7 linked regions of the Callithrix jacchus genome follow. The protein of the gene in region 2 interacts with the protein of the main gene of each other region in a pairwise test. Links are inferred from orthologs where the notes say so. Each region holds a gene or a part of one and is shown on either strand. Other genes may lie near its edges.

Region 1 (4,431 bases), on a different chromosome or scaffold from region 2:
TGCCATTTGCAACAAGGGCAAAACTTCGTCTCAAAAAAAAAAAAAATTGAATTGATGAGCAAATGATGAATAAAACTAAAAGCTAGGTTATTTTAAAAGGCAAAAAAAAAAAAAAAAATAAGACACTGGCAAGACTAAGGAAAGTAAAAAGAAAAGAAAAAAAGGTTTTTTAAAAATTGAAAATACCAAGTGTTGGAGATGATGTGGAGTAATAGGAACCGTGGTACATTGCTGGTGGGCATGTAAAACAGTGCAGCCAGTTGCTTTGACAGTTCCACAAAAGTTAAACAAGATGTCCATATGACATAGCAATTCTGCACTTACGTATAAACCCTAAAGAATTCAAAATAGGTACTTAAATACTTGTGAATGTTCGCAGCAGCGCTATTTACAATAACCAAGAGGTGGTAACAACCCAAATGTTCATCAATGGATGAATGGATAAATTGTGGTCTATACATCCAATGGAAAATAAATTTGGTGATAAAAAAGAATGAAGTTTATTCAGTGATAAAAAAAGAATGAAGTTCTGACATACACTACAACATGGATAAACTTTTTTTTTTTTGAGACGGTGTTTCGCTCTTGTTACCCAGGCTGGAGTGCAATGGCGCAATCTCGGCTCACCGCCATTACAGGGGTGAGCTACCGCACCCGGCCAGAACTCTTAAAACATTGTGAGGGCCGGGCTCCGGGCGCGGTGGCTCATGCCTGTAATCCCAGCACTTTGGGAGGCCGAGGCGGGTGGATCACGAGGTCAAGAGGTCATCCTGGTCAACATGGTGAAACCCCGTCTCTACTAAAAATACAGAAAATTAGCTGGGCATGGTGGCGTGTGCCTTTAATCCCAGCTACTCAGCAGGCTGAGGCAGGAGAATTGCCTGAAACCAGGAGGCGGAGGTTGCGGTGAGCCGAGATCGCGCCGTTGCACTCGAGCCTGGTAACAAGAGCGAAACTCCATCTCAAAAAAAAAAAAATTTTAAGTGAAAGAAGCCAGACACAAAAGGCCACACATTGTATAATTCCATTTACATAAAATGTGTAGAATAGGTAAATTCAGAGAAAGAGTAGATTAGTGGCAGTCCCTGTCTTGCTGGGAGAGATAAATGGGAAGTGATTGTTAATAGGTGAGGGGTTTCTTTTTGGGGTGATGAAAATAATCTGGAATTACATAATGGTGATTGTGACACAATCTTGTGGACACACCAAAAAACACTGAATTATGCACTTATATTTTCTCTTTTTAGGCTGGGCGCGGTGGCTCACATCTGTAATCCCAGCACTTTGGGAGGCCGAGGCAGGTGAATCACGAGGTCAGGAGTTCAAGACCAGCCTGGCCAACATGGTGAAACCCAGTCTCTACTAAAAATACAAAAAATTAGCTGGCGGTGGTGAGCGCCTGGAATCCCAGCTACTGAGAAGGCTGAGGGATGAGAATCACTTGAACCCGGGAAGTAGGGGTTCCAGTGAGCCAAGATCGTGTCACTGCACTCCACCATGGGCGACAGTGCGAGACTCCGTCTCGGGGTGGGGGGGAGGAAGGAAAAAAAAAAGAAACTTTTAGCTTACAGAATCAGCTCAACAAATTCCTCAGCATAGCCCTCAGGGCCTTTCATTTTCTGGCCTCCCGCACTCCAGCCATCTCAACCGTTAAGTACACAGATCCCGGAAAAGGGTGCTCCATAACCGACGCTTGATCACCTCTCCAGCACTCAACCGGCTTTTTAGCGTCCCGTTCTTAGACGCTCCAGCAAGATGAGCAGCTTATCTTCTTCGACCTTTGCTTAACATACAATTCTATCATACCTATTTGCCTGCGCGCCTGCCCTGCCACACAGTACCAGAATGTCAAGGCCTGTGGCTTGTTCATCTTCATATACCCTGCTTGGTGCACAGAAATGAAGCAAACAGATAAATTCTTCAAATGATCTTTTCAACGAATTTAAGTAACAGAAACGTGAAACGGACAAAAGCTACGGAAGGCTGTCTCCCCAGACAGAAACTGGGACTCAACACAAACGTAGCGGAATTTGAGGAGAAACCTGTTTAATCTCCTGACTCATGCGTATTGTCTTCCAGTCTAACAACATGCCCACAATAAAGATGGATTCTGCTAGCCCCGATTCCGCCTTTATAGTACGCATAGCAGCCATCTTTCTTAAGGGTAAGGAGCAACCCGGAAGATCACACCCTACCTTTTTCAGAAATGCAGGACGCCTTTAAATCATGGAGAGTCCAATCGGAATCGACATTTTCACCGGAACCGCTCGGCTTCACGACCGGAAGAGGCTGTGCGTAAGAGCGTTGGGGGCGGAAGTGACGGGAAAGTGGTAGTTGGGTAGTTGGCGGGTGGTTGAGTAGAGCCGGTCGCCATGTCCGCGGGGAGCGCGACACATCCTGGAGCTGGCGGGTAAGGCTTCAGGGGCGAAGGCATCGGAGCGAGTACTGTGGCACGGGAGAGATGGAAGGACCCTGAGAAGCTGAGTTTGGGGTGGAGGGGCCCTTAAGTGGGAAGTGGGGGCTTGGGCGTTCGGGGAGAAGGATCTTGAGCAGGCCTGGGGCCCTTAAAGGGCCGGCGGGGATCTGAGGGAGGAGGGAAGCGGGGATTTTTGGAAGGGCGAGCCAAGGGGAAGGAAACGAGAGTGCACAGGGCAGAGTGGAGTCGTTGGATAAAGATGACAGTAGAAAGGAAAGATTTGGGGGAAGCGTTTGAAAGAAGTGGTTAAAATAGCAATAATCGTTTAAGAAGAGGGGAGTTGTAGATTTGGAAGGTGATTCGGAAGTGGATATGAAATATAATAGAGGGAAAATGGGGTGCTAAGGCATAGTAAGGAAAGAATAACATACATGAAAGCTTTGGGGCCTAATGTTTTTTCTTTTTCTACATATAGGCGCCGCAGCAAATGGGACCAACCAGCTCCAGCCCCACTTCTCTTCCTCCCCGCAGCGGCCCCAGGTGGGGAGGTCACCAGCAGTGGTGGAAGTCCTGGGGGCACCACAGCTGCTCCTTCAGGAGCCTTGGATGCTGCTGCCGCTGTGGCTGCCAAGATCAATGCCATGCTCATGGCAAAAGGGAAGCTGAAACCAACTCAGAATGCTTCTGAGAAGGTATTTGAAATTGATGGGTCTCCACTAATTGTGAATTACTAGTTGTTTCGTAATCCTGTGATCTCATAATCATTTGCGTTAGTTAAAAATGGATATAGTCGTTTAGAGATCATTTAGTTTTGGAATATTCCAGATGACATTTTGTCACAAATACATATTTACGAGGCATTTTTGATTGGGCTGATTACATTTATGGACCAAATACCTTGTCTTGTCCTTGTTCACTTAGTTCACCTTGAGTTATATTTCCATAGTCATTTAAAGCAACATAACATGTTTTTAACGTGTGCTTTTTCCCTGAAGTCAAAAGAGAAGTTTAGGTAAATCAAGTGAGCTTCAAAGTGTCATCTCTAATTAAAACCTGAAGTGGGTTTTTTGTTTGTTTTTTGTGTTTTTTTTGAGACAGAATCTCATCTGTCACCCAGGCTGGAGTGCAGTGGTACGATCTCGGCTTACTACAACCTCTGTCTCCCGGGTTCAAGTGACTCTCCTGCCGCAGCTTCCCAAGTAGCTGGGATTACAGGCACATGCCACCATGCCTGGCTAATTTTTTTTTTTTTGTATTTTTAGTAGAGACAGGTTTTGCCATGTTTGCCAGACTCCTTTCAACCTCCAAAGTGCTGGGATTACAGGTGCAAGCCACCATGCCCAGACTTGTTTGCAAAGACTGTGTGAGTCAGTTGTCCATTTCTAAGGTTTATGGGGAAAAATTAAAGCATCTTGACAGGCCTGGCACGGTAGTTCACACCTGTAATCCCATCACTTTGGGAGGCTGAGGCGGGAGATCATCTGAGGTCAGGAGTTTGAGACCAGCCTGGCCAACATGGTGAAACCCCATATCTAATAAAAATACAAAAAGTAGCTGGGCATGGTGGCACATGCCTGTAATTCCAGCTACTTGGGAGGCAGAGGCTGAGGCAAGAGAATCGCTTGAACCAGGAGGCAGAGGTTGCAGTGAGCAGAGATGATGCCATTGCACTCCAGCTCGGGTGACAAGAGTGAAACTCTGCCTCAAAAAAAAAAAGGCATTTTGTCAAAGATGGAATGCTCCTTGCTCTTTGTATATTAAGATTCTTAATACTGATGTCAATCATTTAAGGATTTTTTTTTCTTTAGAATAATACTTTTTTTTTTTAACATAGAGATGGCATTTCACCATGTTGGCCAGGCTGGTCTCAAACTCCTGACCTCAGGTGATCCACCCACCTCGGACTCCCAAAGTGCTGGGATGGGCGTGAACCACCTCGCCCAGCCAAATAATACTCTTTTTTAAAAAAGATATTTGACCTCACCAGGATACATAAATACTGGATTTAGAATCAT
Region 2 (3,792 bases):
ACTGCATCGGGGTGATGTGCTCGAAGCCTGGTGGGGGCACATCCCAGTATTTACGGACCTTCTTCTTCTTCTCATGACGGGGGGAACGACTGGGGGAGGTGGGAGGGGAGAGGGGGGCAGGGTAACCTCAGTCTGACCAACAGTGGGCCTCAGAGCCCCTCCCAGGTGCCCTTTCACCCTCCCCCCCACCATGTAAGCTGCACTCTCTCCAGGGAAGGAGAGGATCCGGGACAGGGCCTGGGGAAGGGGTGCTGGTTTCAAGGCAAGTGGACTCTTCCCAGTGCTTGGGCCAGGGCTGGAAGCGGACAGGGCAGGGTAGGCGGGCGTGAGGAAGGTGAAGGGAGTGGACATCAGGGAGGAAGGGGCAGGAAGAGAAGCTCACATCAATCCACCGTGCTCCTCTTTAGCGCCTCTGGTCAAAGGTTTGCTGGGGGGTGGGAGGGAAAGGTATGGGGAGGGGTGACTGGGGACCCTCGTCTTCCCCACATGCCACACCCCCCCAAGGGCACTGAGCCCCAGGATGGGAGCAGGGCCGAGGTGAACAAGCAGCAAGCAGGCCCCCCTCGGCCCTGCCATTTCCCCCCAAACACTCCCACCCCCAGGAAAGAGGAAGTGAGGAAAGGAGACAGGGGCCAGGGGCCAGGAAGGACCAGTCTCTAGCTGGAGAAACTGCTGGGAGAAGGCAGGAGAACTCTGCCTATCCTGCCCTTCCTCACCTAAGGGGCAGAGAACAGAGACGGGAGCCTAGAGAGAAAAAGGCGGTGGAAACCAACACCCCTGGGCCAGAAAAGAAGCCCAGGCTGTGTACACTGCCTCACTCCCAGGAGCTCCCTTCTCCAAGGAGGCAGGGAAGAAAGAAACTGGAGGCAGAGACCAACCCCCTCGAATAGAGTCCCACAGAGAGCCCCAGAGAGTTGACAAGAAGAAACAGGCAGTCAGAGTCAGAGACAGAGAACAGCCCCTTGCAAAGGAAAACACAGAATCAATTCCATGGCCCCAGAGAAAGAACCTATTGCTCCCAGCAACCCACCAGCAACCCCCAATAGAGGAAATGAAAGAAACCCCAGAAACGGGGGAAAAATCGGAATTCAAGACAGACCAAGCAGTAGATCCCTCCCCCAGATCCACACAAAGAAAGATGAGCCACAGAAGGCCTGGGCCCAGATACAGAATCAATGGGCCACCCCCAGGCTGGCCAACACCCACCCCCCACCCGACTCCCAGGCTGGCCCAGCCCGGGGTCCCTGAGCCCTAGTACCTTCGGCGCCGCCTGTCCCGGGAAGCGCTCCGCTGGTCCCGGTTGCGCCGGTCTCTGCTCCGGCTGCGGCGTTTGCGGTCCCGGCTTCGAGAGCGGCTGTGGCTGCGCTTCCTATGCCGATTCTCCTTGTCCCGCTCTGGGCAAGGGTGAGAGGAAGGGGATGCGATGAGCGGAGTAAGGATGTGGACCCAGCCCACCCTGCGCACTGGTGGCTATGTCCCAAGCCCCAGGGAGGCCACCCCCCAAAGGGAAGGGATTCGATGGAGGAAGGGAATTAACAGGCCTCCTAGATCCACAAGCGAGTCCAGGGACCCTGAGGGGACCAGGGGGACGGGCCTGGAAATGCCCCCGGGGTGTAAGATACCTGAGGATGCTCAGGAGGAGCTGGGGAGCCAGAGAAGACAGAGGCTGGCTCCTGGTCCCCCTCGAGGGCTGAGGGGCCTGACCCCAGGGTCGTCCCTGAGAGGGGCAGGGCTAGAGGCTGGGGAATCAAGAGACCCAATGATGTTTTCCTGAAGGGACGCAGAGACCCCTCAGGAAAGACCTCTGCAACCAGCTGGCACCCACAGCCCCATCATCAGGCCTAGAGGTCAGGTGCCAGGCAGGATTTGATATCCCCAGGAAGCAGGGAAACTCAACCCATCCCTTCCCAACCTGGTGAATAATGCAGAAGCAAGCACGCTTCCCCCGGGGAGTGAAGGGCCTTGAAGCAGCTGCAGATGGAGGGTACAGAGCCCTCCTCTGCTTCAGCAGGTCAGGGGAGGAGCTTGCCCTACCCAGACTTTCACCCCAAACCACCTGACTCTCCCTGCCTCGCTCCCTTCAAAGCCAAGTACTGGAGAGGTTGTAGAGTACGGGTGTGTATCTCCGCCAGCCTCCAGACGTCCTATTTTCCTCCAAGGTGGCCACTAGAAACAGAGCCTCACTGGCAAAACCACAGAAACCTCTGCTTCCACCAGACCCTTCAACTCCTGAAGACCAACCCTTCAAGATGGAGGATAAACCATGAGCTGGGGGTGTTCATAAGCACCACTTAGAATTCCCTGAATTCAGAGATACCCAGATTTCTCAACTATCCATGAAACACACACACACACAAGATGCACATGTTAAGGTGCTCATACATGTTAACAAGCATCACCTAGAGTGATGATCCCTGGGGCCAGAGGGGGGAAAAGGCACAGAGGGAGAATGTTAAACTTCAGCCTCACCCAGCATTTTGTTATTCTGACACCAGATGAATGTTGGGAAAAGCATCACAATTCCAAAACCACCAACACTCAGAAAAATATGCACCCAGCGGGGGGAAAAAAACAGTAACAAATAATGTGATGCTTCTTACGACGGAAATCTGTATTAAATAGTTCTGTTTGCAAAAAATTAGCTGGGCATGGTGACGCATGCCTGTAATCCCAGCTACTTGGGAGGTTGAGGCAGGAGAACTGCCTGAACCCAGGAGGCAGAGGTTGTGGTGAGCCGAGATCGCGCCACTGCACTCCAGCCCGGGTAACAAGAGTAAAATTCTGTCTCAAAAAAAAAAAAAAAAAAGTTCTGTTTGTACTTAATCCTCACTACTGCTTCAGAAAAACACTGCTGGGGGCTGACATAATGGATAAGGAAACTGAGGTACAGAGAGACCACAACTTGCCCAAGGCCAAACAGCTAGAAAATGGTGAAGCCGGAATTTCAACTCTGTAAAGCCATCAAGTTCAGCATGAGGCCATGCTCCTGAATTCGGATCAGGCAGGACATTCTGGCTAGAACCACTAATGACAATGCAATTGTCGGCTTGAAGGCCCAAAACCCCAAAATCAAAGACAGAAACGGGGGGGAACAATCAGCAGGACAAGCCAGCAGCGGAGTAAGCACACAGGCATGGCAGCGGGCACAGCGCTGGCTCCACACTTGAAAGATGGACAGGCTGTGAGCCCCAGGAGCCCTTCCTGCTGCTAAGGCTCTGAAACAGGCAGCAGGCAGAAAGGAACACACGCACAGAAAGCAGTGACGCCTGGCTGGGTGCCTGGGACATAGACAAGGAAATTCCCTGTAGACACAGCGAGCAGAGGAAGGCGCTGAAGCAGAAGCGGGCAGGTACAGAAGCTGGCCCGTCCTCCAAAGAGACAAAGACCCACAGCCAGAATGATACGTGTGCGCGGGCAGAGCTTCCCCTACGGCAAGAACCCTCTCCCACACACTGATGCTGGACAGGTAAAAACAGAAAGGGAGTTTCGTTTGCTGAAAACATTGTATTGTGGTCATCTTATGGGAGCAGCTCCGCCAACCCAGGAACCACGCCAGGTCCAGGCACTGGCCTCCCAGCATCAGAGGAGAAACCACAGGAGAACCAGTACGGTGCCATCTAAGGGCCTCAAAGAACGGACCAATCAGCTCGACTTGGTGGTCAGCATAGAGGAACGTGGCTTTGCAGCCAGCCAGAGCTCAAAATCAGTACCTGTTTTTCTACTTACCAACAACATAAAACCATGCAAAAGCAACTGAAGCCTTTAAGATTTGGTTTTTTCTTCTTTAAACGA
Region 3 (4,462 bases), on a different chromosome or scaffold from region 2:
AGGTCCAAGGGATTGCTTGAGTTCAAGAGTTTGAGACTACCCTGGGCAATATGGCAAACTCCTGACTCTACAAAAAAAATACAAAAATTAGCTGGGCATGGTGGTTTGTGGCAAGGTACTCAGGAGGCTGAGGTGGGAGGATCACTCGAGTCAGGGAGATCAAGGGGGCAGTGAGCCAAGATTATTTCACTTGAATATAAGTGAATATAAGATATATTTGATATATTTGATAAATATAAGATATATTTGAGCCATACCCTGTCTCAAAAAGAAAAAAATAATCTGTCTTCTTATTTTTTACCAGTAATTTTCTGTGTGCTGCACAGAAAGACAAAGATTGCACATTTGTATCTATGTACTGGGAAAAAGAGGCTTCTATTCTAGTTCTTTTAGCATCAGTCTGACAAATATGAATAGGTTAAATTTGAATTAAATTAAAGGCAGGTAATGATGAGAGAAAAGTATTTTCTAATCAACTGGGATGTCCATCAGGCTCAGGTAAAGGAGGAAAGTGAGAGTTTACATTTATTAGTTTTACTCTTCCAAGTTAAGGATCTGGTAAACTGGGGGGATTAGGAGAAAAAAAAAAACAAAGAGAAGAACATTGTGAATTTATGTTCTACAGTTTCTCTTCCATGTTCAGTATGCTAGAGCTTCACTCTGCTATTAAGAGATCTTTATGAGTCCCTTTTCTTTGTACAACATAGCTCTCTCTACTGCCACTATGTAGAAGCTGGGAGAAGTGTTACCACTAAAATATCTCAGCTGGAAATGGCCTCTATAGGTATAAACTATGGTAGCATTAGCTGGTAAAATTCAGTACGCAGGGCCTCCTGTCTCAAGGACAATAAATTTACAGCTGTTTGTGAGCTTCTCTGTTAAGATCTTTCCCATCTTCTCCCAACACCTGCTCTTTTAGATAAGGGATAAGGTTCAGGTTAGCCCTTCTTTTGATTCAATTCACATCTGTTTTAACATCTAGTAGAAACACAGTGTTTTTTTGTTTGTTTTTGTTTTTTGAGACAGTCTCCCTCTGTCACCCAAGCTGGAGTGCAGCGCGAGATCTCAGCTCACTGCAACCTCCATATCCTGGGTTCAAGTGATTCCCCTGCCTCAGGCGTGCACCACCGCTCCCAGCTAATTTTTGTATTTTTAGTAGAGACAGGGTTTTGCCATGTTGGCCAGGCTGGTCTCGAACTCCTGACCTCAGGTGATCCGCCCACCTTGGCCTCCCAAAGTGCTGGGATTACAGGCGTGAACCACCACGCCTGGCCAAAAACACAGTTACTTCTGACTTGTGAATACCATCCTTAACTAGTTTCCAGTGCTGATGAAACATTTTCCATTTTATGATTCCTTCTGCCACGCCATCAGAAATGTGGGCTGGGGAGCTGTGCATGTAATCCTATTACCATCACCTGACCTATTCCTACATTTTTAAAGTACATGTTTACAGAAATTCCAATTAAATCAAGAGATAATATTGGGACATCCTGAACATGTTCTATCCACTTCGAGGGGGTAACATCATTACTCTGGAGACCTCCCTATATTCTACACACTCTTATTTCTATAGGGTCCATCTCACATGATAGCAAACATTTAAAAAATGCATGGAAACTCCTCTAGTAAACATAGATGGCCCCACACCAAAACATATAAATAAATTTAAAGACTATTTAACATTTTGCTTTTGTAATTACTTACCTAATTATAAAAGATAATTAGCTAATTACCTATGGCTAACTTGTATAGTTTACCCCTGGATCTGATTTCTTAGCTATCATCCGCGTATAGTCATGAGGAAATCTTGCAAAGAAAACTTAACATAAATGTAATTAAAATTCAGATGAATGAAAATATTATGTCACATTTTACAAGCGTTTGATAGTAATTTCAACTTTGCACGTTTTTCCCATTTTCAAGAGAATATTTTTGATCCTAGCACTCTTAACTGCGCTATCTACTGGATAAAACAGCTCTGAAAGCTGTGGTGAGTTTCCTCCGCAAGGGCTTCCTCTATGCACACGTAATGCCATAATAAATAAAGGTCAGTGTGAGCCATTTTATTATGATCCATGTTGTAACTGTCCATATTATCAATATTGTGGGCTGAAAAGAACGATTTATCTTGGCAGTACCTGAAGCTTTCTCCAAAACTTAGGGTCCTTAAAGCTTAGTTCTTAGAGATTGGGGGCAAAAATTCTCCCTGATTTCCCAGGCAAAAAATCAACCCTTAATTGCTACGATGCTGGCTTCCCATCCACCGTAAGGGCGAAAAAGGTAGTAATTTCTTCGTTTAAAGGCCTTTGTTTCTATTTCAAATTCACCCCTAAGACGTTATTCCACCTGGCTGGTCTGTGACCCTGGTGCTGGCAAAATCCGCGCCACCCGGGGCATTGCCCGCGGGCTCCGCAGTCGTCAACCCAGGCCGCGAGCGAAGCCTGCACCCAGGGCCTGCTTCAGGAGCGCAAGAAACGGCCTTCACGGCGACGCGCGCCGAGAACGCGCAGCCGGGCGGCGGTTCCCCACGGGACGCGGCGGGAAACGCCCCGCGCGGCCGGCCCCAGACCCCGCCCGCCCCTCGCGCGGACACGCGCCTGGCTCCGCCCCCGGCCCCGCCGGCCGCGCGCCCCCACCCCGGCTGGGACCGGCCCCACGAGGTGCGCAGGGTCCTCACTTGTGGAAAGAAACGGGCTTATCCTTGTCGTAGCGGTTCTTGCAGCCGTAGGCGGAACAGGACTGCACCATCCTTCCGGTGGTCCTCAGGCACTTCACTTCTGCCGCCGCAGAAGGCAGGGGAAGCTGCTTTCAGTGTCGCCGCGCTCGGTTGGACACCCTCGTTTCTTTTGTAGCTTTGGCCAACAGTTACAGTGATGGTGGCCTCCCTCGGGAGTGACTAGTGTGCCCGTTTTGTTGTTTGCATTAGCAGAAGGACCACAGCCATCGCCCTTCTCCCATCTCCAAGATGGCGGAGGCAGCTTCAACCTCACCTATCGCGAGGGGTGCGTCCCACTGTCTCTGATTACTCTGAGGTCAGAGGTAACCTTTCCTTGGGAAGCTGACTATTGGCTGAGGCCAGGTGTTTCCGGTGGTGGCTTCGGAATTGCGGAAGTGGGCGGAGCCCTGAGCTTCTGGCCGGAAGGAAGGAACTGCTTGGAGGAGGAGGTGCGGCGGGAGGGCGGATTCCAGGGGCCACCTCAAACCCCGGGCTGTTCCGGCGGATTAATTGATCTGGAGCTTTCCTGGGGCGGCTTAGAGTAGGAAACTACTGGGGCCTCTTGGAGAACAGGTGTAAAGCCGAGGTCGTTGTCTGATTCCTCCCATTTGTTTAAAAGGGCAGGCACAGATCGTGTATAATTAATAAAATTGTGGAACCTTTTCCCAGAATGCTGATCTTTATCCCATTGCCTGCCTCTTCAGGTATCACAAAGCTCTGTGAGAGCAATGTGACAGGTTTTTAGGAATGAAGAAAGACACACTCACCAAATAATCTCAGTTGCCAAACGCAGAAGCATTATAATATGTATGTATGTATATGTATGTGTGTATATATATGTATGCGTGTGTACACATATATATATATAATTAAAAAATGGAGACGGTGTCTCCCCACGTTGCCTAGGCCGGTCTAGAACTCAAGCCCAAGGGATCCGGCCTCCTAGTGGCCTGGGATTACTGGAGTGAACCACCAGGCCCTCTCCAGAAGCTTTTATGAAGGGATGTCCATTGCTGTGATTTCCAGGTGCTGCAGCAACTTTTCACATCTGAGAGAGACTATGTCAGAGGGGTTATAAACTGGAGCCACTCTGTGTTGAGTGAGGGCTAGGAAGATGAGGCTGAGACTTGCTAGGCTGCATTCCCAGAAAGTTAGGTATTCCTAGTCTCTAGATGTTTACAGTTAAGGCAACAGATTGATAATATTTACTAAACAGACCCAGACTTCCAAGTGTCCAGATATCCTGATATTTTGAGAACAGAAGCATTCCTAATTTTGCTTTATTGGGCAGGGCGCAGTAGCTCAGGCCTGTAATCCCAGCACTTTGGGAGGCCGAGGTGGGCGGATCACCTGAGGTCAGGAGTTCGAAACCAGCTTGGCTAACATGGTGAAACCCTTCTTTTCTAAAAATGCAACAGTTAGCCAGATGTGGTGGCACATGCCTCAAATCCCAGCTACTCTGGAGGCTAAGGCAGGAGAATCACTTGATCCTGTGGAGGTTGCAGTGAGCCATGTTTATGCCACTGCACCCCAGCCTGGGTGACAGAGTGAGACTGTCTCATAAAGATGATATTGATTCTTACATAATATAGTAATTAATCATTTATCACAAACCCTTGCAACAGAGCACATCTCCCATGATCTTTTTTTTTTTATCCTTTATATAAACAAGTGTATCTTTTACTTTCGGGAACACCCTGCTCTCTCTAAGGAGTAGCTGTACTTTCACCACTTTATGTTCTT
Region 4 (3,792 bases), on a different chromosome or scaffold from region 2:
CAGCCTGGGCAACAAGAGTAAAACTCCGTCTCCAAAAGAAAAAAAAAAAAAGTTTGAGACCAGCCTGATCAACATGGTAAACCCCGTCTCTACTAAAGATATAAAAATTAGCCAAGCATGGTGGCACGTGCCTGTAATCCCAGCTATTTAGGAGGTTGAGGCAGGAGAATTGCTTAAAGCTGGGTGGTGGAGGTTGCAGTGAGTCGAGATTACGCCGCTGCACTCCAGCCTGGGTGACAGAGCAAGACTTCATCTCAAAAAGAAAAAGAAAGTATGCCCTATTGTGACATAATCATCACTGTATATATCTGTGTATACTATGGATCAATCATTCCCCCTTAAATATAACAAAATTCAAATTAAGTCTGAAATTCTATAGCCAACCCTAAAATTTACATAAAACTGCTACTCAGATTTTATAATACGGGTCTATATACTATATTTTGTGGTATCTCTGCTCTATCAAATTACAGCTCCTGGGCTTAAGAGATCCTCTTGCCTCAGCTTCCCAAGTAGCTGGGATTACAGGCACATGCCACAGTGCCTGGCAAATTACAAATTATTTTAATGCAGGACTCTCTCTCCTTCTCTGATCACCCTACAATACTCTAAACACAAAAGGCACACATCTCTCTGGTTTTTCTTGTTCCATAGACTGCCCAGGGGACCAATCAGACATTGCTTATTCAAAAGCAATGGGATAGCCAAGGTATCAAAAGAACTTTGGAAGATTTCATAGGAGTCGCAGAATTTTTTTTAATAAAGAGAGATACTGGGAAATGAGTAGAAAGATAGGCTACTTGACACTGCTAATATTGAAAGAGGCCAGGATTAGTCAGCAAATATAGAATAAGAAGTGTAGTAGTTAAGGAGGCACTGACAACTCTTTCAAGTGTTTCACTCATGGCACCAGGTGACCAGCAATATGCCGTGTAGCAAATGGTAAGCTCTCAAGAATATAATAAATAATAGTTACTTTTTGGTATCCTATCTACAAGTGCATTGCAGAGAAACCTCTACAAAGAGACATCAGTGAGGTCTACAGCTCAGGTACCAGTGGAGTCACATTCTAAAACAACTTATAGGCCTCAAATCAAACATAAAATCTTAGAACAATTAGTTTATAGGTAGTAGTAAGAAGGGGAAAAAAAAAAAAGGAAATATGGAGAAAGATTAAAACCAAAACTCCTGTTATCTAAAAAAAGACAAAGCTACCAATTATTTCTTTGGATATTTCAACCCATGAACTTGGGTAGTTCATTATCATAATATGATGATGACACAATTCACCTCTTCTACTTTAACGTCTAAGTACCTCTCTTGAACATTTGGTGCTCTAAATCGTGGACATCAAAGTGTGAACTGGCAAGCTCAGCAACTCTGTTACCATTCAAAACAGTCCTGAGCTCATTAGATAGTAAATTGTAACCTACCTTTAGCTCTCGTTTTCTGCTCCTGTCACTGCTAGACTTGGAATGCCTAGAGCTTCGGCCTTCCTCCACAGCCTCAAACAGTTTGTCCACAAATCGCAGAGTAGAATCATCAAGAAAAGGTTTCAGATGATCTGACAGGAAAAAAGGCGGTGGTAGGATTGGAAAGATAAGAGTATATACACTAATACTAGGCCTAGAACAGGTACCAACACTGGAATTTCACTCCTAGGAGTGAAACAAATTTTAAGTTCTTTGCAGGATTCCCATCTCTCTTACAGTGAATGACCTTGCCCTTTGAGGTGAAAATACTTATAATTTTTTAGAGTGGGAAGTCAGTCAGAATAACCTATTTAGGTTGAACATCAAGTTTAAGATGAATAATCGCCAGGCGTGGTGGCTCACGCCTGTAATCCTAGCACCTTGGGAGGCTGAGGTGGGTGGATCACCTGAGGTCAGGAGTTCAAGACCAGCCTGTCCATCATGGTGAAACCCCATCTTAAAAAACATATAAAATATATATATTAAAAAAAAAAAAGAGATGAATAACCACCCTAACCTTTCCCAAATAGCAAGCTGTAGGAGACTACCATTAACAAAATCTGCCTCCTTCAAGCTTTTTCACGTATTTCATAAAGACTTTTATATGTTGAGATGTCAATCTGAATAACTGAACATGCCTATCTGACTTTAGCATACTTCCTAAGTAAATCTAACTTGGGTGACTCAGTATGGTAGCCAAAGGAAGATTTAAAATATATCACAAATAACATAAAAAATAAGCAATAAGAGAAAAAGCAAAATTATTATTTAGGCTACTTGCAGTAAAATACAAATGAAAATAAAATGTGGCCTGCCCTTTTTTTAGACGTTCCCAACAGAGAGAATTTTGGGGAAGTTCAAAGCAGTGTTTGGGATCACCCTGTAAGTTAAGACAAAAGCTGCAGAAAGGTACATACCAGCCGCCTTTTTCTTGTCCATGCCCTTCCCCACACAGTTCAATGCTGCTGTGACCACTGTAGGCTCTGAGAAACCCAGCACCCTCTTCACTGTCTTCTCTATCCATGGTTTCAGCTCATCCAGCTCCCTCTTAGACAATGCCATTTTTGAGGAAAAAGAGTACAATAGCTCAAACAGGACTCAATACTACACCTGAAAAAAAAAAGAGACAAGTTAGATAATAAGAAAAGACTACAGTAGGCCAGGTGTGGTGGCAATCCCAGCACTCTGGGAGGCCGAGGTGGGTCATTTAAGGTCAGGAGCTCGAGAACAGCCTGACCAACATGGTGAAACCTCGTATCCACTAAAAATAATAAAAATGAGGCCGAGTGTGGTGGCTCATGCCTGTAATACCAGCACACTGGGAGGTCAAGGCAGGTGGATCACAAGGTTAGGAGTTCAAGACCAGCCTGACCAATACTGTGAAACCATCTCTACTAAAAATACAAAAATTAGCTGGGCATAGTGGCATGTGCCTGTAATTGCAGCTACTCAGGAGGCTGAGGCAGGAGAAATGCTTAAACCCAGGAGGCAGAGGTTGTAGTGAGCCAAGATTACAACACTGCACTCCAGCCTGGGAGACAGAGTGAGAATCCGTCTCAAAAAAAAAAAAAAAGTAAAAATGAGTTGTGCGTGGTGATGAACCCCTGTAATCTCAGCTACTCAGGAGGCTAAGGCAGGGGAATTGCTTGAACCAGCGAGGTGGAGGTTGCAGTGAGTCGAGATCATGCCCTTGCACTCCAGCTTGGGCAACAAGAACGAAACTCCATCTCAAAAAAAAAAAAAATTAAAGTGGATCCAGGGAAATGTTAATATATGAGGAATGCATTCTCCACCTCTATTCTCAATCCTAGACAAGTTCTGCCAACTCATTTGAAGGCAAATATTTTCCCCAAGAACCATATCTCAAAACAGAAAGAGATTCTATTTTTTTTTTTTCTTTTTGAGACAGTTTCGCTCTGTCACCAGGCTAGAGTGCAGTGGGGCAATCCTGGCTCACTACAACCTCTGCCTCCCGGGTTCAAGTGATTCTTCTGCCTCAGCCTCCCAAGTAGCTGGGACTACAGGTGCATGCCACCACGCCATGCTAATTTTTGTGTTTTTAGTAGAGATGGGGTTTCACCATGTTGGTCAGGATGGTCTCAATCTCTTGATCTTGTAATCCACCTGCCTTGGCCTTCCAAAGTGCTGGAATTACAGGTGTGAGCCACCGTGCCCCGCCCCATTTGATTTTTAACTCTTTAACTCTTAAGTTGACCAATGAAAACTGTGGAATAAATAAACTCTGTGAATAAGCTAAGCCTGAGAAATGAGACTTAGCTTTATCCTGTCATATCAACAAGGACTTGCAAATATAGCAACA
Region 5 (4,239 bases), about 12 Mb from region 2:
CACGCAAGGGGTCTACGTGGGGGTCCTAAATAGTCAGGCTGTTTGATCTTGAGGACACGAGAACCCCCCAAGAGGAGACAAGAGGAGGCGGCTGAAGTGATCTGCGGAGAAGCAACTGGGGCAGAGCCTGGGCGGTGGGTGGGGTATGGAGACCCTACCGGTCCTTGTGCAGCTTCAGGAGCCTCTTCACATCTTCTCTGCCCTTGGGGACCGGGCCAGCCTTCTCCAAGGCCTCCTTCAGGAGCTGGCTCTTCTCCAGGCCGAAGACATGAGGGCGAGCAGGCCCCGAGGCAGCGGGTGGAGGAGGCAGTGGGGGCGGTGGGGGAACAGGAGTTTGCTGACTCCAGGGACGGGATGAAAAAGCTAAAAAGTCCAGGGCACTTGGGGGTAGAGGAGGAGGTGGAATGCTGCTGGCTTGGGGTACAGGGGTTCTTGGAGGAGGGATTGGTGATTTTAGGGGAGGAGAGCTTGGTGAAGTCATTTTGGGGTCTCCAGGAGGTGCTGAGGGGTTCAGAAGGTGGGGAGGGAGGGATCGTCCAAGAGGACGGCCTCAGGGACGGAAATTTTAAAAGTTTAAGAGCTGAATTCCAGAATCTGGGGGCAGAGCAGTGGGTGTGAAAGGACCAGGGCTAACATTTGAAACAGTGGGAGCAGGAATTGCGAGGCTGACCTCAGCCTTAAGGCACCTGACGGCTAACACGGCGGGGACGGGTTGTTACCTCGGGAGGCTTAGGTGGACAGTTAGTAGGAGTTAACTCCTTCTCTGGGGCCGAATGTGGAAACTCATGGGTAAGTCTGGGATATGAAGGCTCAGACATAGAGTGAGGTGCCTGAAGGGTGCGACTTAGGGGCCCGGGGCTAAAGATTCGGAGAACTTAGACTCAGTCCCCTCTCACATCCCAGGCCCGAGTTCGGAACCTTTGAGCTGACCTTTTGAGTCAGAGGCAAGAGGTCAAAAAGGACACCTGGCAGGGAAAGTGGCCTAGTTGTGGAGAAGGTCCTGGAGTCAGAGCAATAAAAAACCTCCGTGGGTTGGAGAAGACTCAGAGATCACAGGCTGGAGGGCGCCGCGATAACCGGTGGAACAGGGAAAGGAGTCAGGAAGTAAAATGAGCCGCCCACTCCCGCAAAATGGCGGCCCCCGCACACAGCCTTTCCCATATTATGTGGTATCACCCTCAATAGTGCCCGCCCATTTGGCGATCACGTGACAGAAAACGCATCTCACGCGGGGAAGAGGCGGGGCTTCAAACAGGCTTGCCTCCGGAAGACACCGCAGTTCGAAACGCGTCCCGATTGGCAAAACAATCGTGACCTTCACTGATTGGTCCGTAGACTCGGGAGCTACGGAAGGAGGTGGGCTTGTCGAAAGTGGGGCGGAGTTTTTCTACCTAAGCGGGAACCCAAATATCGTTTTGATTGGCAAGAACTGAGCCTAGAAACGAGTCTTGCTCTGATTGGGCAAGCTACTGAGTTTCCGCATGGGGATTGGCTGACAGAAAGGTAGAGGCGGGGCCAGGAGAGAAAGCTTTGTGGTTTGGTCTCAGAAAAGTAGCAGGCGCCAGTTGAGAAAACTGCGGCCCCATCGGAAGGTAACCTCGGGCGCAGACTAACATCGGCGGAAGGCGGGCGGTGCGCTTGGCGTCCGGGCCTTCCTGTGCCCGTCTGAGGAAACTTCTGCCTCTCGAGGCCAGGCTGCCCAAGACCCATCCTTTCTTCCTTTACTGGCTCTTACATCCGGGTTTTTTCTCCCGGACTGCCCTTCGGACGCGTCGACCAATGGGAACCGCCATTTAGGGGGCTCCGCCCACTGGGTCGCGTAGAGCATCCTGGAACTCGTAGTAAATCTCTCGAGAGTTCCCTCTGCACGCGGGCTCGAGAAGTGGGTCCTACGCACGCTTTGTTGCCCACGCTGTGCCTCCGTCCTTCCCACTCCCGCCTTACCTGACTTCCTCTCGGAAGGAAGAACCTTGAGCCCCCCGTTAAGCCAACGTTGGGACAAAGGATTTGGAGAAAACCAGGGCTAAAGTCACGTTATTTCTCGTTTAAGCCTTACCTCGACACTTCACTCCATGGCAGTTCCCGAGACCCGCCCTAACCACACTATTTATATCAACAACCTCAATGAGAAGATCAAGAAGGATGGTGAGTTCTCGGGATAGTCCGCACTCCAGGCTGTCCCGCACGGGCTGGTCTCCCTTCCACCCCCTGCACCTGCTTTTCTTTCTCAGTGTTCGTCCAAGCAAACTGTTCCAGTGAACCCTTTGGCCTTTACACAAACGACTTCCTCTGTCTTCAACACTCGTTAGTTCATCTTACACTCTGCCCTTTAACCTGGTCACTGTTGCTCATCTTACAAGGTTTCAGGACACAGGACCCCTCCTCCAGGAAGCCTTCCCTATCCTGCGTCCCTTCACGTGGCTGCCCCTGACTTCCTTCCATCAAGCCCGGATTCCTCTGGGCTGTCGTGGGGCTCTCTCTCCTCCCAGTGGCCTTTGAGCTCCATGAGGGCAACGCCTGGGGCTTCTTGGTCACCGGCGTTTTCAGTGATCAGTGCACAGTGAAAATGTACCGTACTGGGGCTAACGCTCTGTATCATGGGCTGGTCTATGCGCTATTTTTTTTTTTTTTTTTTTTTTTTTTTTTTTTTTTTGAGACGGAGTCTTGCTCTATCCCCAGGCTGGAGTGCAGTGGCGCAATCTCGGCTCACTGCAACATCCGACTCCTGGGTTCAAGCGATTCTCCCACCTCAGCCTTCTGAGTAGCTGGGACCACAGGCACGTGCCACCATGCCCGGCTATTTTTTGTATTTTTAGTAGAGATGGGATTTCACCAAGATGGTCTCGATCTCTTAACCTTGTGATCCGCCCGCCTCGGCCTCCCAAAGTGCTGGGATTACAGGCGTGAGCCACCGCTCCCAATCTTGGTTACATTTAATCCTCAAAACAAGCCTGTAGGAAGAAAGAAGGCTTTTGTTATTCCCATTCCTCAAATAAGCTGAGACTGGGGTGATGTGACTTGGCCTGGGTCACATAGCCACCGGTATCTAACTCCCGTTTTTGGCAGGGCGTGGTGGCTCAGGCCGAAAGGATCACTTAAACACAGGAGTTCAAGATCAGCCTGGGCAACAAAGCGAGATCTTGTCTCTACAAAAAAAAAAAAAAAAAAGCCTGGGCATGGGTGGGTCACGTCTGTGGTCCCAGCTGCTCAGGAGGCTGAGATGGGAGGATCGCTTGAGCTACAGAGGTTGAGGCTGCAGTGAGCTATGATTGCACTGCAGCCTGGGCAGAGCAAGAACCTATGTAAAAAAAGAACTTGATTATTGAAATCGGCAAGACTCTACAGCTTTCTCAAGTAAATTATCACCTTTATTGAACCTCATTTTCTGTGTCTGAAAACTGAACAAAGTCATAATACCTTCTTTGCATCGATGTTGGGGGAAATTAAATTAGCTAAATCTCTAAGTGTTTCTGTTTTATGGTACCTGGCAGCTAGGAAGGGCTGGATAAATGTTAGCTCTTATCACCTCAAGAAAATTGTCGGGAGAAGCGAAGGAGCTTGCTGGGATTCAGTTTGAGGTTACCAGTGAAGTTGCGCTTGAGGAAAGCATAGCCTACAGCCAGGCGCAGTGGCTCACGCCTGTAATCCCAACACACTGGGAGGCAGAGGCGGGTAGATCACTTAAAGCCAGGAGTTCGAGACCAGCCTGGCTAACATGCTGAAACCCTGTCTTTACTAAAAATACAAAAATTAGCCAGGTGTGGCGGTGCATGTCTGTAGCCCCGGCTACTCGGGAGGCTGAGGCAGAAGAATCACTTGAAACCCAGGAAGCGGAGGTTTTTGGGTGTTTTTTTTTTTTTGCAATTTTTTACTTTTTCCCTCCCAGAACACGGGAAGGAAGTAGAGGTCTTAGTGAGCAGAGTTCGCACCACTGTGCTCCAGCCAGGACGGTAGTGTGAGACTGTCTCAAAAAAAAAAAAAAAAAAAAAAAAAAAAAGACAAAATCAGGAATGTAAATATTGCATATGCTTTTAGAGTGTGCTACCCAACCAGTATCAGGCAGTGCTGGGGGCACACTGGTGACATAGAATCCTGGTTTTATTTATTTACTTCGAGATGGAGTTTCGCTCTTATTGCCCAATAAGAGTGCAAGGGGGCGATCCCAGCTCACCCCAACCTCCACCTCCTGGGTTCAAGTGTTTTTCCTGCCTCAGCCTCCTGAGTAGCTGGGATTATAGG
Region 6 (4,358 bases), on a different chromosome or scaffold from region 2:
CTCCCATACTGTTTTCATGGTAGTGAATAAGTCTCACAAGATCTGATGGTTTTAATAGGGGTTTCTAGTTTTGCATATTCCTCATTTTCTCTTGCCACTACCATGCAAGAACTGCCTTTCTCTTCCCACCATGATTCTGAGGCCTCTCCAGCCATGTGGAACTGTATCAATTAAACTTCTTTTTCTTCCCAGTCTCAGGTATATCAGCAGCTTGAAAATGGACTAACACACTGCTCTATTCTTAGCTAAGGCATTCTTAGTTCCTTCTATATTGAGACAAATGATAGTTTCAAGGTCACATACCGTCATACTCCTCTAAAAACATAGAGCCCTTAGGCTGGGTGTGTTGGTTTATTCCTGTAATCCCAGCACTTTGAGAGGCCAAGGTGGGAGGATTACTTAAGCCCAGGAGTTTGAGAACAGCCTGAGCAGTATAGTGAGAGCTGTAATCACACCACTGCACTCTAGCCTGGGAGACAGAGTGAGATGCTATCTGAAAGCAAAAACAAAACAACAAAAAAACACAGACCCCTCAAATGAACATGGCCCATGTGCATGGATATAAGTAACCTGGTACTTCATGCCACAGACTGAGACTTGCTTAGTCCGTTAAGTTTCAAACCACAATCATTATTTGTAATGTTTATACTTGAAAGCAAGTTAATTCATTAACTTACATGTAAGGCATTGTTCAGGTGTTCAGGGGCATAACAGTGACCAAAACTGACAAATGCTGATCTCACAGAAGATACATTAGAGTGAAGAAAATACACAATAAACAGAGTTAGTAGATTATGCGGTATGTTGCAAAATGATAAAGGCTATGGAGAAAAATCTGGTGTACAAATAGATAGGAAATATTGAGGGGATGGGGGGAAGGCTGTTGTTCTCCTTAAAATTCTCCTTAAAATTTTCTCCATGACATTTTTTTAGGCAACATATTTAGAAACTTTACATTTTCTTCTAGTTTTCTTCCCCTTTATATTGAAAAATGTGTTTAAACCACAAGTATACTTACAGTAAACAAACATTCAAATTTTACCCCAATGAAATTTTAAAATGTACACAAACTCTCAGGCAAAAAGTTCACTATTTGAATGTGAAAAAGTGAATGACTGTTAAAATATTTGCAAGCACCAAAAAAATATTATGGCTAAAACGCAGCTACCCTGAGAACTACTATTTCTTAAAAACTCACATTGCATAAAAATATAAAGTCAGATTATCCGACAGGATATAAAACAAAAGCAACACAAAGACAGTTTAAAGATTTAATTTCTCTTGCCCAGTCAGATGAAACAACAAAAACAAAAGGCCCATAAACTTTTTCTTCCATCTTTTAACCAAAATAGTGAGATGCTCAAGCCAAATGCCAAAGAAACAGGAAAGAGAAAGCAATTGTTTAGAAACAGTCTCGATTATGAGATTAAAATCAAAATTTTAATACAATAATAAAATGCAAAAACCAATCGTTATTTTAAAATGTACTGCCCTGATATTCTGCTGCTGAGGTAGGTAGTCATATGTATAAATTCATTTTTCTTTTAAAATGAAAAAATAATGCACCTATTAACAATCATTTCCCAAAATTCGGGGGAAATTCCCAAATCGGAGAAAATGTAACATCAGCATCTACTACACAAAGCATTAAAAACATTTTTCAGCATTTTAGCTACGTATCTTAATTCACTGGTAGTGTGTTGGCCAAAATGTAATCCAAAATGAATGAAAAACACTCAACTGGTAGGCACTTATGTAATACCCTACGGAAATATAATGAGGGTATTTCGAAACTCAACATTTGAATCTGTGAATGTCTAAATCAAGTACTCTAAACTGGGCCTCTACTTTGAAACAATTTTTCAAAATACATGTTACATCTGTAAGAAATCTTTTTAATGACTCAAAATTCCTAAGTCTGAGGAGGGGCGACGGATTCGGCTAAATTTAGATTTCCCAGCCCGGTAGTTGTCAGCCCAGGCAGCGAGTTTAAAACATTGGGGGTTGGAGAGTAGTTTGTAGTTCAGAGCACCCAGTGAAAAGCGCCGGTTCTTCCCCATTCGTGCATTTGAGAGGTCACAACGTAGTAAAGTTTGGTTTCACAAGCGGGCTTGGACGCTCGCGACCAAAGTCTCCCAAGAAAAGCCGATACCAGGGTCGGGAGTGCCCGGAAGCTTAGCAGGACACGTTTACGGCAGGGAGGAGGGTTTCTGCGGCGGTTCTGGCGTGGAGCCCCTTCTTCCCCCGCAGGACCCTGCACCCGGGCGGGGACAGGCATCGCCAGCTAAGGCGGCAGGAGGCGCGTAGGCCACAAGGAGGAAATGGGACGGAGTGCGACAGAGAGGAGGCGGAGGCGGCGGCGGCGGCCCAGAGCCGGGCCTCCCTCGCGGGGCAGCCAGAGGGAAAGGGGCCCTCCCGGCCGCAGCCTCCCCCACCTAGGGAGGCAGCTCTAACTTTCCTCCCAGCGCACTACGCCGCCCGGGCCGCGCGAGATTCCGAAACTTTTGTCAGTCCTCGCGTCGCCCCAGGCCCGCTCCAGCGCTCTGCGCCGGCCTCTAACCCCGGCCTCGCCCGGACAGCTGCCCAAGCCCATCCACCCCGCGGGTCGGCCCGTGTTTACCTCAGGCCGAACTCGAGGTGCTCGGTCCGGCGGCTGCCCCACAGTAGGTTTACAGGTCCCCGTCAATCCGCCGCCAAGTTCCCCAACATGGACTCCTTCGTCCACTTTGAAGGGTTACAGGGTCTCTGGGACACTGACTCCGCTGGCCCGGTCCGGAGGCCGCAGCGACCCAGGTTGCGCTGCTCCGCGCGGCTTGCGCCACCGCTGCTCCCGCTCACCCCGCCTTGTCTAGCCTCCGCCCTCCCCTCCCCGCGCGTCTCCCTCCTCCTCCCTTCGCTCGCTCGGCTCCGCTCCCAGTCGGCGCGCTGCGGTGACGACGGCGGCGGTCGTACTCGCAACACTCTTCCTACTCGCTCATCTGGCCCTGCGTGCACGTCCGCAGCACCCAGCCAGACCGCAGGGGGGCGCTGGCAAACTGCTGTTTGCGACCGAGGAGTGTGGTGGGTGGAGTCACGTCACGAGGGCTGAGAGCGGGAGGAAGGGCAGCAGCGATGGAGGGGCCTTCTGGGAAACGTCCTTCCCTCCCGCCCTTCGCCTACGCCGCGGGGGGTGCGCATGCGCCGCGCGTGGACTTTTTGCCTCAGAGCTCCTTTGGTGGCTTTACGGGCTGCGTCGCTGTGGACAATGAAAGAGGCTTTAAGGGAACTGGACAGGAAGGATTTTGCGTGGGTTGTGCTCTTCTATCTTGATGGTAATCTAATGTTGAAAAGTGTCCGTATGTTTGTAGTGGATTGAGTGTTCACCTGGCGGCGTTGCCCATCAGAAATACAGCCCGCGGGGTGAAGAGTCGGCACCTTTCTTCCTTTCTCCTGGGCATTTTTTTAGATGCTTGAGGGGATAGCTTTCCTGGCTAACTCGCCGAGCTTAGGGCCTTTACCACGTCTTAATCCCACATCGCAAAATTAATTTGGGCCAGGTGCGCGGTGGCTCTCGCCTGTAATAACAGCACTTTGGAGACCGAGGCTGGCAAGTCGCTTGAGCAATGTAGTCCCTTCTACAAAAAATAAAATTAGCCGGCCGTGGAGGCGCGCGCCTGTGGTTCCAGCTCTTCTAGAGGCTGAGGTGGGCTGCGGAGGTTGCAGTCAGCTGAAATCGCGCCACTGCACTCCAGCCTGGGCGACAAAGTGAGACCCTGTCTCAAACAACAAAAACTTGATTATGATTTACTTCAAAGACCTCTGCTTTGTGGTTAGTGACCCGTATGCCATCCTCCACTCCTTCCGGGTGGGTTGTTAAATGTTTTGTTTTACCTCAGAAGTATTTTGGTTTTTTTCAAAGTCACTAACTCTTAAATCTCCTAGTTTCTCTTCTCGTCGACTGCAGCAAGCTCCTGGTTGCCCTGCCTGCCCTCAATGTCCCTCATCTTCTACCAGCAGTCCTTCCAGTCCTCCTGCCCACGCCATTGTCCTGCTTGCGGCTCCCGCGGGACTAAGCTCTGCTCCCTGCGCGCGGCTCACCCAGGTCCCAGTCGCTTTCACCCGCGCGCTCACACCTTTTCCTGTGGTTCTGCCCCCGTTCTAACTGTGTGCGCGCTGCGCTCTCCCAGCCACGCCGACCCCTGCCTGGGATGCTTTCTCCTCACTTTTCCGCGGTCTACCAGTCCACCGGTCCACCGGTCCAGCGCTTAGGCCGCTTCTCTGCCGCATCCGCGCAGATGCCGCATCCCCTCCTCCTGCCCTGAGGACGTCGCTTTCTGGCAGTTTCATCATACGCATACTGTTGAGTCTGCTCACTGTCT
Region 7 (4,319 bases), about 46 Mb from region 2:
CAGCACTTTGGGAGGCCGAGCGGGTGGATCACCTGAGATCGGGAGTTCAAGACCAGCCTGGCCAACATGGCGAAAGCCTGTCTCTACTAAAAATACAAAAATTAGGAGAGTGGTGGCGCGTGCCTGTAATCCCAGCTACTTGGGAGGCCGAGACAGGAGATCACTTGACCCAGGAGGCGGAGGTTGGAGTGAGCCGAGATTGCCCCTCTGCACTCCCGCCTGGGCGACAGCGTGAGACTTGATCCGGCCACCCAGGGGCTGTTATGCCTTGAACATCCAGTGTGTGCCTGATATGGCAGGGCTTTCTGGATAGCAGAAAGCCCAGGCCCAGCAGATGGAGACTCCAAAGCTCAGAGAGGGCGTCTGGCTTACTGGAGGTCACACAGCACTGCGAAGGCCATCTGATCTCTTCCCTGTGGAATCAGGTCAGCCCCAGGGCCCACCAGGCAGTCTCAAACCCTATGCTTCCAGGGACCCAAATAGAAGTTTCTGGGGCCTTCCTGGAAAGCTGGTTCCAGTGCTTTTGACTGTCGGGGTCTCAGTGTGCCCATCTTGAGAATGGGCACGACAGCCGGACCTCACGAGGAAGCACATATGGTCTTTAGCACACAGGGAGTACCCCGAAAGTTTGGATAGTTTCAAAATCGAGATTCCCCTTTCTACTTGGAGGAAGTCCAGGGTCCCTCCAGGATGGGCAAACTGCAGTCAGGAGAGGGCCCCCAGGCTGAAACGTGGGCCTCAGCGTGGCCTGACTTCCTCCAGACTCCCAGGTCTGCTGCGCCCCTCCAGAGCAGGGCACGTGGGAATCTGCATCCTTACACCAGGAGAGAGACCTGGTGCCCACCTCAGCCTTGCCCCTTCCTCAGTGCTGTGGATACTAACCCTGAGGAAATCCCTGACCTCTCTGGGCTTAAGCTTCTTTCTTTTGTTTTCTTTTTTTTTTTTTCTGAGACGGATTCTCACTCTTGTTACCCAGGCTGGAGTGCAATGGCGCGATCTCGGCTCACCGCAACCTCCGCCTCCTGGGTTCAATCAATTCTCCTGCCTCAGCCTCCCGAGTAGCTGGGATTACAGGCACGCACCACTGTGCCCAGCTAATTTTGTATTTTTAGTAGAGACGGGGTTTCACCTTGTTGACCAGGATGGGCTCGATCTCTTGACCTCGTGATCCACCCGCCTCGGCCTCCCAAAGTGCTGGGATTATAAGGGTGAGCCACCGCCCGGCCTGGGCTTACATTTCTTTAAGAGGACTCAATAGTTCCCTCGCCTTAGACCAGCTACATGGCAAACTCTTCAGAAAGGTCAGATTTCTGAAAGGAGAAGCACCTTGGAGAACGTGATGGGCGCTGGGAACCCTTTCTCCAAAACTGGCCAAAGACAGACATAACCAGGTTACAAAATGTGTTTTGGGGTTGGGGGGATGGTGAGTCCAGGCTCTAAGCTGGTTGGCGCAAGGTCTTTTATCCAGCGGGGGGTGGGGGGGGGCTTGGGGGAGACTGGGGAGGAGGGAGGGACTCTGAAGTCACACAGGTGGGTCTTTGGGCAAATTATTTAACTTTTTTGTGCCTCGGTTTCCTCCTCTACAAACTGGGGCTGTTTAAAGAAAGGAATTCAGTATTTGTCAAGCGATTCGGTCGGAGCCTAGCACACGTTATTTTCCCAATCTGCCGTCCGTGCAGAACAAGGGGGCTCACCCTCTCGGGCGCAGGGACCCCGACCCGCCCCTCACCTGTGGTACTGAGCTTGCAGGAGCTGAAACTCGTCTTTGATGCGGTCGCAGGAGTCCGAGGTGGTGAATTTGAGTTGCTGGGGTAGGTGCGAGGAGCCCTGTGGGGAGGGGGGCGCCCCGGTCAGGCCCAGGCGTGGGCCAGGCCCCCCTCAAGGGCGGGCCAGGAGGGAGCGGCCGCGCAGCTGCGGCGCCCCCCCTCCTGCCCCACTTCCTGGGCCCGTGTTTACCGCCCCTGGCAAGGCCCCCACCCGCGCTTCCTGCCCCCGCCTCTCCCCGGGGGAAGCTGAGGGGGTGGGTGCGCCCGGAGCCGCCCCGTCCCCCGCCACCCCCAGGCAGTGGGGGGTGCGTTTTAAGGCCCGCCCTAGGTGGGGGGCAGGGTACGCCCTCTACCGCCCCTCCAAAGCGCCGGGAGTGGGTGCCTCCGAGGGGGGTGGAAACGCGCCCTAGGGAGCCCCCTCCCCAAGTTGAGGGGCAGCGAGTCCCCCCTGCAAAGTCCCCTTGGGGAAGGGGGTCTCTCTCGGCGCCCTAAATCTTCCGGGGGGGAGCCCACCCCAGAATCCCAGCGCCCTTCCTCGGGGACGCGCTCTCTTCCGGGAGGGGGGACGCCTCGGATTGTCCCCCCCACCACAGGCCCCCAAAGGAGCCCCGCGCTGGAGGTGCCTGGCGGGGCTCCCGGAGATCCCCAGGCCCGAGGCCAAGGCCGTCCGAGGCCCTGCCTGTCCCGGCGGGCGGGGGGGGGGGCGCCAAGCCGGGAGCTGGGGGGGGGTTCGGGGCCCGGAAGCTGGGGGAGAATCGGGAACTGAGGGGGTGTCCGGGGGTCGGCGGCAGGACGGGGGTCGCGCGGGGCTCGGAGCCCGAGAGGGAAGCCAGGGCCCGGGAGCTGGGGGGGCGCGGGGCGGGGGCGCGGGGAGGGGGCGCCGGGCGGGCGGGCCCCGCTTACCGAATGCCTGCTTTGTGGAAACATCATGTCAGTCGCGGCGGGGGGCGCGGGCTGCGCCCCGGCTGTGCGCCCCGGCTCGGGCTGCTCGGGGCGCCGGGCGGCCGCGCCTTTGTCCCGGCGCGGATCGGCAGCTCCCGGGGCCGCCGCCGCCGCCTCCCGCGCCCGGCCTCGCCCGCTTCCTGCGCCCCCTCCCCGCGCGCCCGGCCCCGGCGCGCCCCGGGCCCCGCTTCCTGCGCGCCCGGCGCCCCTCCCCGCCCCTCCCCGCCGCCCGCCTCCCCGCTCCCCGGCCCCACCGCTATTGTCTAATGGCGGCGACGCCGGCGGTGGCCGCGGCTCGGCTGCTGCGGAGGCTCCGGCTCCACCTGCCGCCGCCGCCCGTGCCCCGTGCGCGCCGCCGAGGGGGGGGACGCGCGCGCCCGGGGAGGCCTGCGGATCCCCACCCCGGCCCGCCTCCCCGGGGCCCGCCCGCCGCGGTGACCTTGGGCCCGGCGCGCCCCCGCCCCGGGCCGCGGCCCCCGCCACCCGCCCCAGCCTGGCGGCCGGCCTGGCCTCGGTTTCCCCATCTGTCAGAGAAAGGGACCCGGCTGCCCAGGTCGAAGCCGCCGGCCCTGCGGTGGCACGACCTGGACGCGTGCCAGGGACGTATTCTGTGACCTTGGCTCTGGCTGGGCGGTGGTTCTCGCCGGGCCTCAGTTTCCTCTTCTGCAGAAAGGCAGCGGTCATGCCGCCTTCCTCAGGGAAGCCATTCTTTGGACACCTTTATGGAGGGCCTGTGTGCCAGGCCCGGCTGCTCCAGGGCCCTGGGGTGGGTGGGGGGGGTACAAGGCCCCTGCCCTGGTGAGGTGCCTGGAGACAGACAGAGATAAATTCAGGAGCTGAATTCCCAGCAGGTCAGATGGTGGGGACGCCTCTGCGGGGAAAATCGGCTGGGACAATGGCGGGGTAGGAAGGTGCAAGGTTGAACAGAGGGCAGGGAGGGTCAGAGAGGGCTTCCTCCTCCACAAACGGACCCCAAGGAGCGAGAACAGGGGATGGGGGCAGTGCCAGTCAGAGGCAGGACGAGCAGGTGCAAAGGCCCTGGGGCAGGACTGTGCCTGGCACCAGGATGCCCGGGATGGAGGCAGGGCCTGGGCCTGGGGCTTCATGCTGTTGCCCAGGCCCCCTGCCCCCAGCAGGGCTTCTGCCTGGGTGAATCTTTACTGCTGCGTTTTGAAATTCCGAATCATTTTCGAACAAGGGGCCTTTCAGTTTTCTTTTGTACTGTGCCCTGCAACTCTGTAGCTGGTGACACAGGCCAGTTCCAAAAGGGCTTGTGGGCCTCGGGGAGTACAGGGCTCTTGCTCTGAGTGAGGTGGGAGCCCTGGAGGGCTGTGGAAGGAAGAGGGACAGGACCTGGTGGTTTTTTTTTTTTTTTTTTTTTTTTTTTTTTTGAGATGGAGTCTTGCTCTGTCACTCAGGCTGGAGTGCAGTGGCACGATCTTGGCTCACTGCAGCCTCTGCCTCCTGGGTTCAAGCGATTCTCCTGCCTCAGCCTCCTGGGTAGCTGGGACTACAGGCACCCACCACCACGCCCACCTAATTTTTATATTTTTAGTAGAGATGGGGTTTCACATGTTGGCCACGGTGGTCTCGAACTCCTGACGTCAGGTG

What was found.
Region 1: the proteins of U2AF2 (region 2) and KHDC4 interact in binary tests that used the Homo sapiens proteins (3 or more experiments, as listed by UniProt). The two-hybrid records come from large-scale screens. The link is inferred for Callithrix jacchus from reciprocal best matches to the Homo sapiens genes U2AF2 and KHDC4.
Region 3: the proteins of U2AF2 (region 2) and THAP1 interact in binary tests that used the Homo sapiens proteins (3 or more experiments, as listed by UniProt). The two-hybrid records come from large-scale screens. The link is inferred for Callithrix jacchus from reciprocal best matches to the Homo sapiens genes U2AF2 and THAP1.
Region 4: the proteins of U2AF2 (region 2) and PRPF3 interact in binary tests that used the Homo sapiens proteins (3 or more experiments, as listed by UniProt). The link is inferred for Callithrix jacchus from reciprocal best matches to the Homo sapiens genes U2AF2 and PRPF3.
Region 5: the proteins of U2AF2 (region 2) and SNRPA interact in binary tests that used the Homo sapiens proteins (3 or more experiments, as listed by UniProt). The link is inferred for Callithrix jacchus from reciprocal best matches to the Homo sapiens genes U2AF2 and SNRPA.
Region 6: the proteins of U2AF2 (region 2) and SCAF11 interact in binary tests that used the Homo sapiens proteins (3 or more experiments, as listed by UniProt). The link is inferred for Callithrix jacchus from reciprocal best matches to the Homo sapiens genes U2AF2 and SCAF11.
Region 7: the proteins of U2AF2 (region 2) and TLE5 interact in binary tests that used the Homo sapiens proteins (3 or more experiments, as listed by UniProt). The two-hybrid records come from large-scale screens. The link is inferred for Callithrix jacchus from reciprocal best matches to the Homo sapiens genes U2AF2 and TLE5.

The regions. Positions count from the first base shown.
Region 1 is NC_133519.1:16,302,056-16,306,486, reverse strand, and holds the start of KHDC4 (KH homology domain-containing protein 4), read left to right. Parts: upstream 1-1,489; 5' UTR 1,490-2,226; coding exon 2,227-2,291; intron 2,292-2,332; exon of another isoform or gene 2,333-2,372; coding exon of another isoform or gene 2,373-2,410; intron 2,411-2,891; coding exon 2,892-3,108; intron 3,109-4,431.
Region 2 is NC_133523.1:48,521,769-48,525,560, reverse strand, and holds part of U2AF2 (splicing factor U2AF 65 kDa subunit), read right to left. Parts: intron 1,395-3,792; coding exon 1,259-1,394; intron 428-1,258; coding exon 383-427; intron 90-382; coding exon 1-89. UniProt on the Homo sapiens protein: Plays a role in pre-mRNA splicing and 3'-end processing. By recruiting PRPF19 and the PRP19C/Prp19 complex/NTC/Nineteen complex to the RNA polymerase II C-terminal domain (CTD), and thereby pre-mRNA, may couple transcription to splicing.
Region 3 is NC_133514.1:44,607,666-44,612,127, forward strand, and holds the start of THAP1 (THAP domain-containing protein 1), read right to left. Parts: upstream 3,021-4,462; 5' UTR 2,752-3,020; coding exon 2,681-2,751; intron 1-2,680. UniProt on the Homo sapiens protein: DNA-binding transcription regulator that regulates endothelial cell proliferation and G1/S cell-cycle progression.
Region 4 is NC_133519.1:10,250,001-10,253,792, reverse strand, and holds part of PRPF3 (U4/U6 small nuclear ribonucleoprotein Prp3), read right to left. Parts: intron 2,583-3,792; 5' UTR 2,535-2,582; coding exon 2,390-2,534; intron 1,565-2,389; coding exon 1,434-1,564; intron 1-1,433. UniProt on the Homo sapiens protein: Plays a role in pre-mRNA splicing as component of the U4/U6-U5 tri-snRNP complex that is involved in spliceosome assembly, and as component of the precatalytic spliceosome (spliceosome B complex).
Region 5 is NC_133523.1:36,292,413-36,296,651, forward strand, and holds the start of SNRPA (U1 small nuclear ribonucleoprotein A), read left to right. Parts: upstream 1-1,241; 5' UTR 1,242-1,356; intron 1,357-1,521; exon of another isoform or gene 1,522-1,592; intron 1,593-1,852; exon of another isoform or gene 1,853-2,050; 5' UTR 2,051-2,072; coding exon 2,073-2,145; intron 2,146-4,239. Other genes in the region: ACTMAP (actin maturation protease), read right to left, coding at 159-481. UniProt on the Homo sapiens protein: Component of the spliceosomal U1 snRNP, which is essential for recognition of the pre-mRNA 5' splice-site and the subsequent assembly of the spliceosome. U1 snRNP is the first snRNP to interact with pre-mRNA.
Region 6 is NC_133510.1:29,354,696-29,359,053, reverse strand, and holds the start of SCAF11 (protein SCAF11), read right to left. Parts: upstream 2,851-4,358; 5' UTR 2,621-2,850; intron 1-2,620. UniProt on the Homo sapiens protein: Plays a role in pre-mRNA alternative splicing by regulating spliceosome assembly.
Region 7 is NC_133523.1:2,836,588-2,840,906, forward strand, and holds the start of TLE5 (TLE family member 5), read right to left. Parts: upstream 2,697-4,319; coding exon 2,670-2,696; exon of another isoform or gene 2,669-2,669; intron 1,828-2,668; coding exon 1,730-1,827; intron 1-1,729. Other genes in the region: uncharacterized protein LOC128930549, read left to right, coding at 2,695-3,510. UniProt on the Homo sapiens protein: Transcriptional corepressor. Acts as a dominant repressor towards other family members. Inhibits NF-kappa-B-regulated gene expression. May be required for the initiation and maintenance of the differentiated state.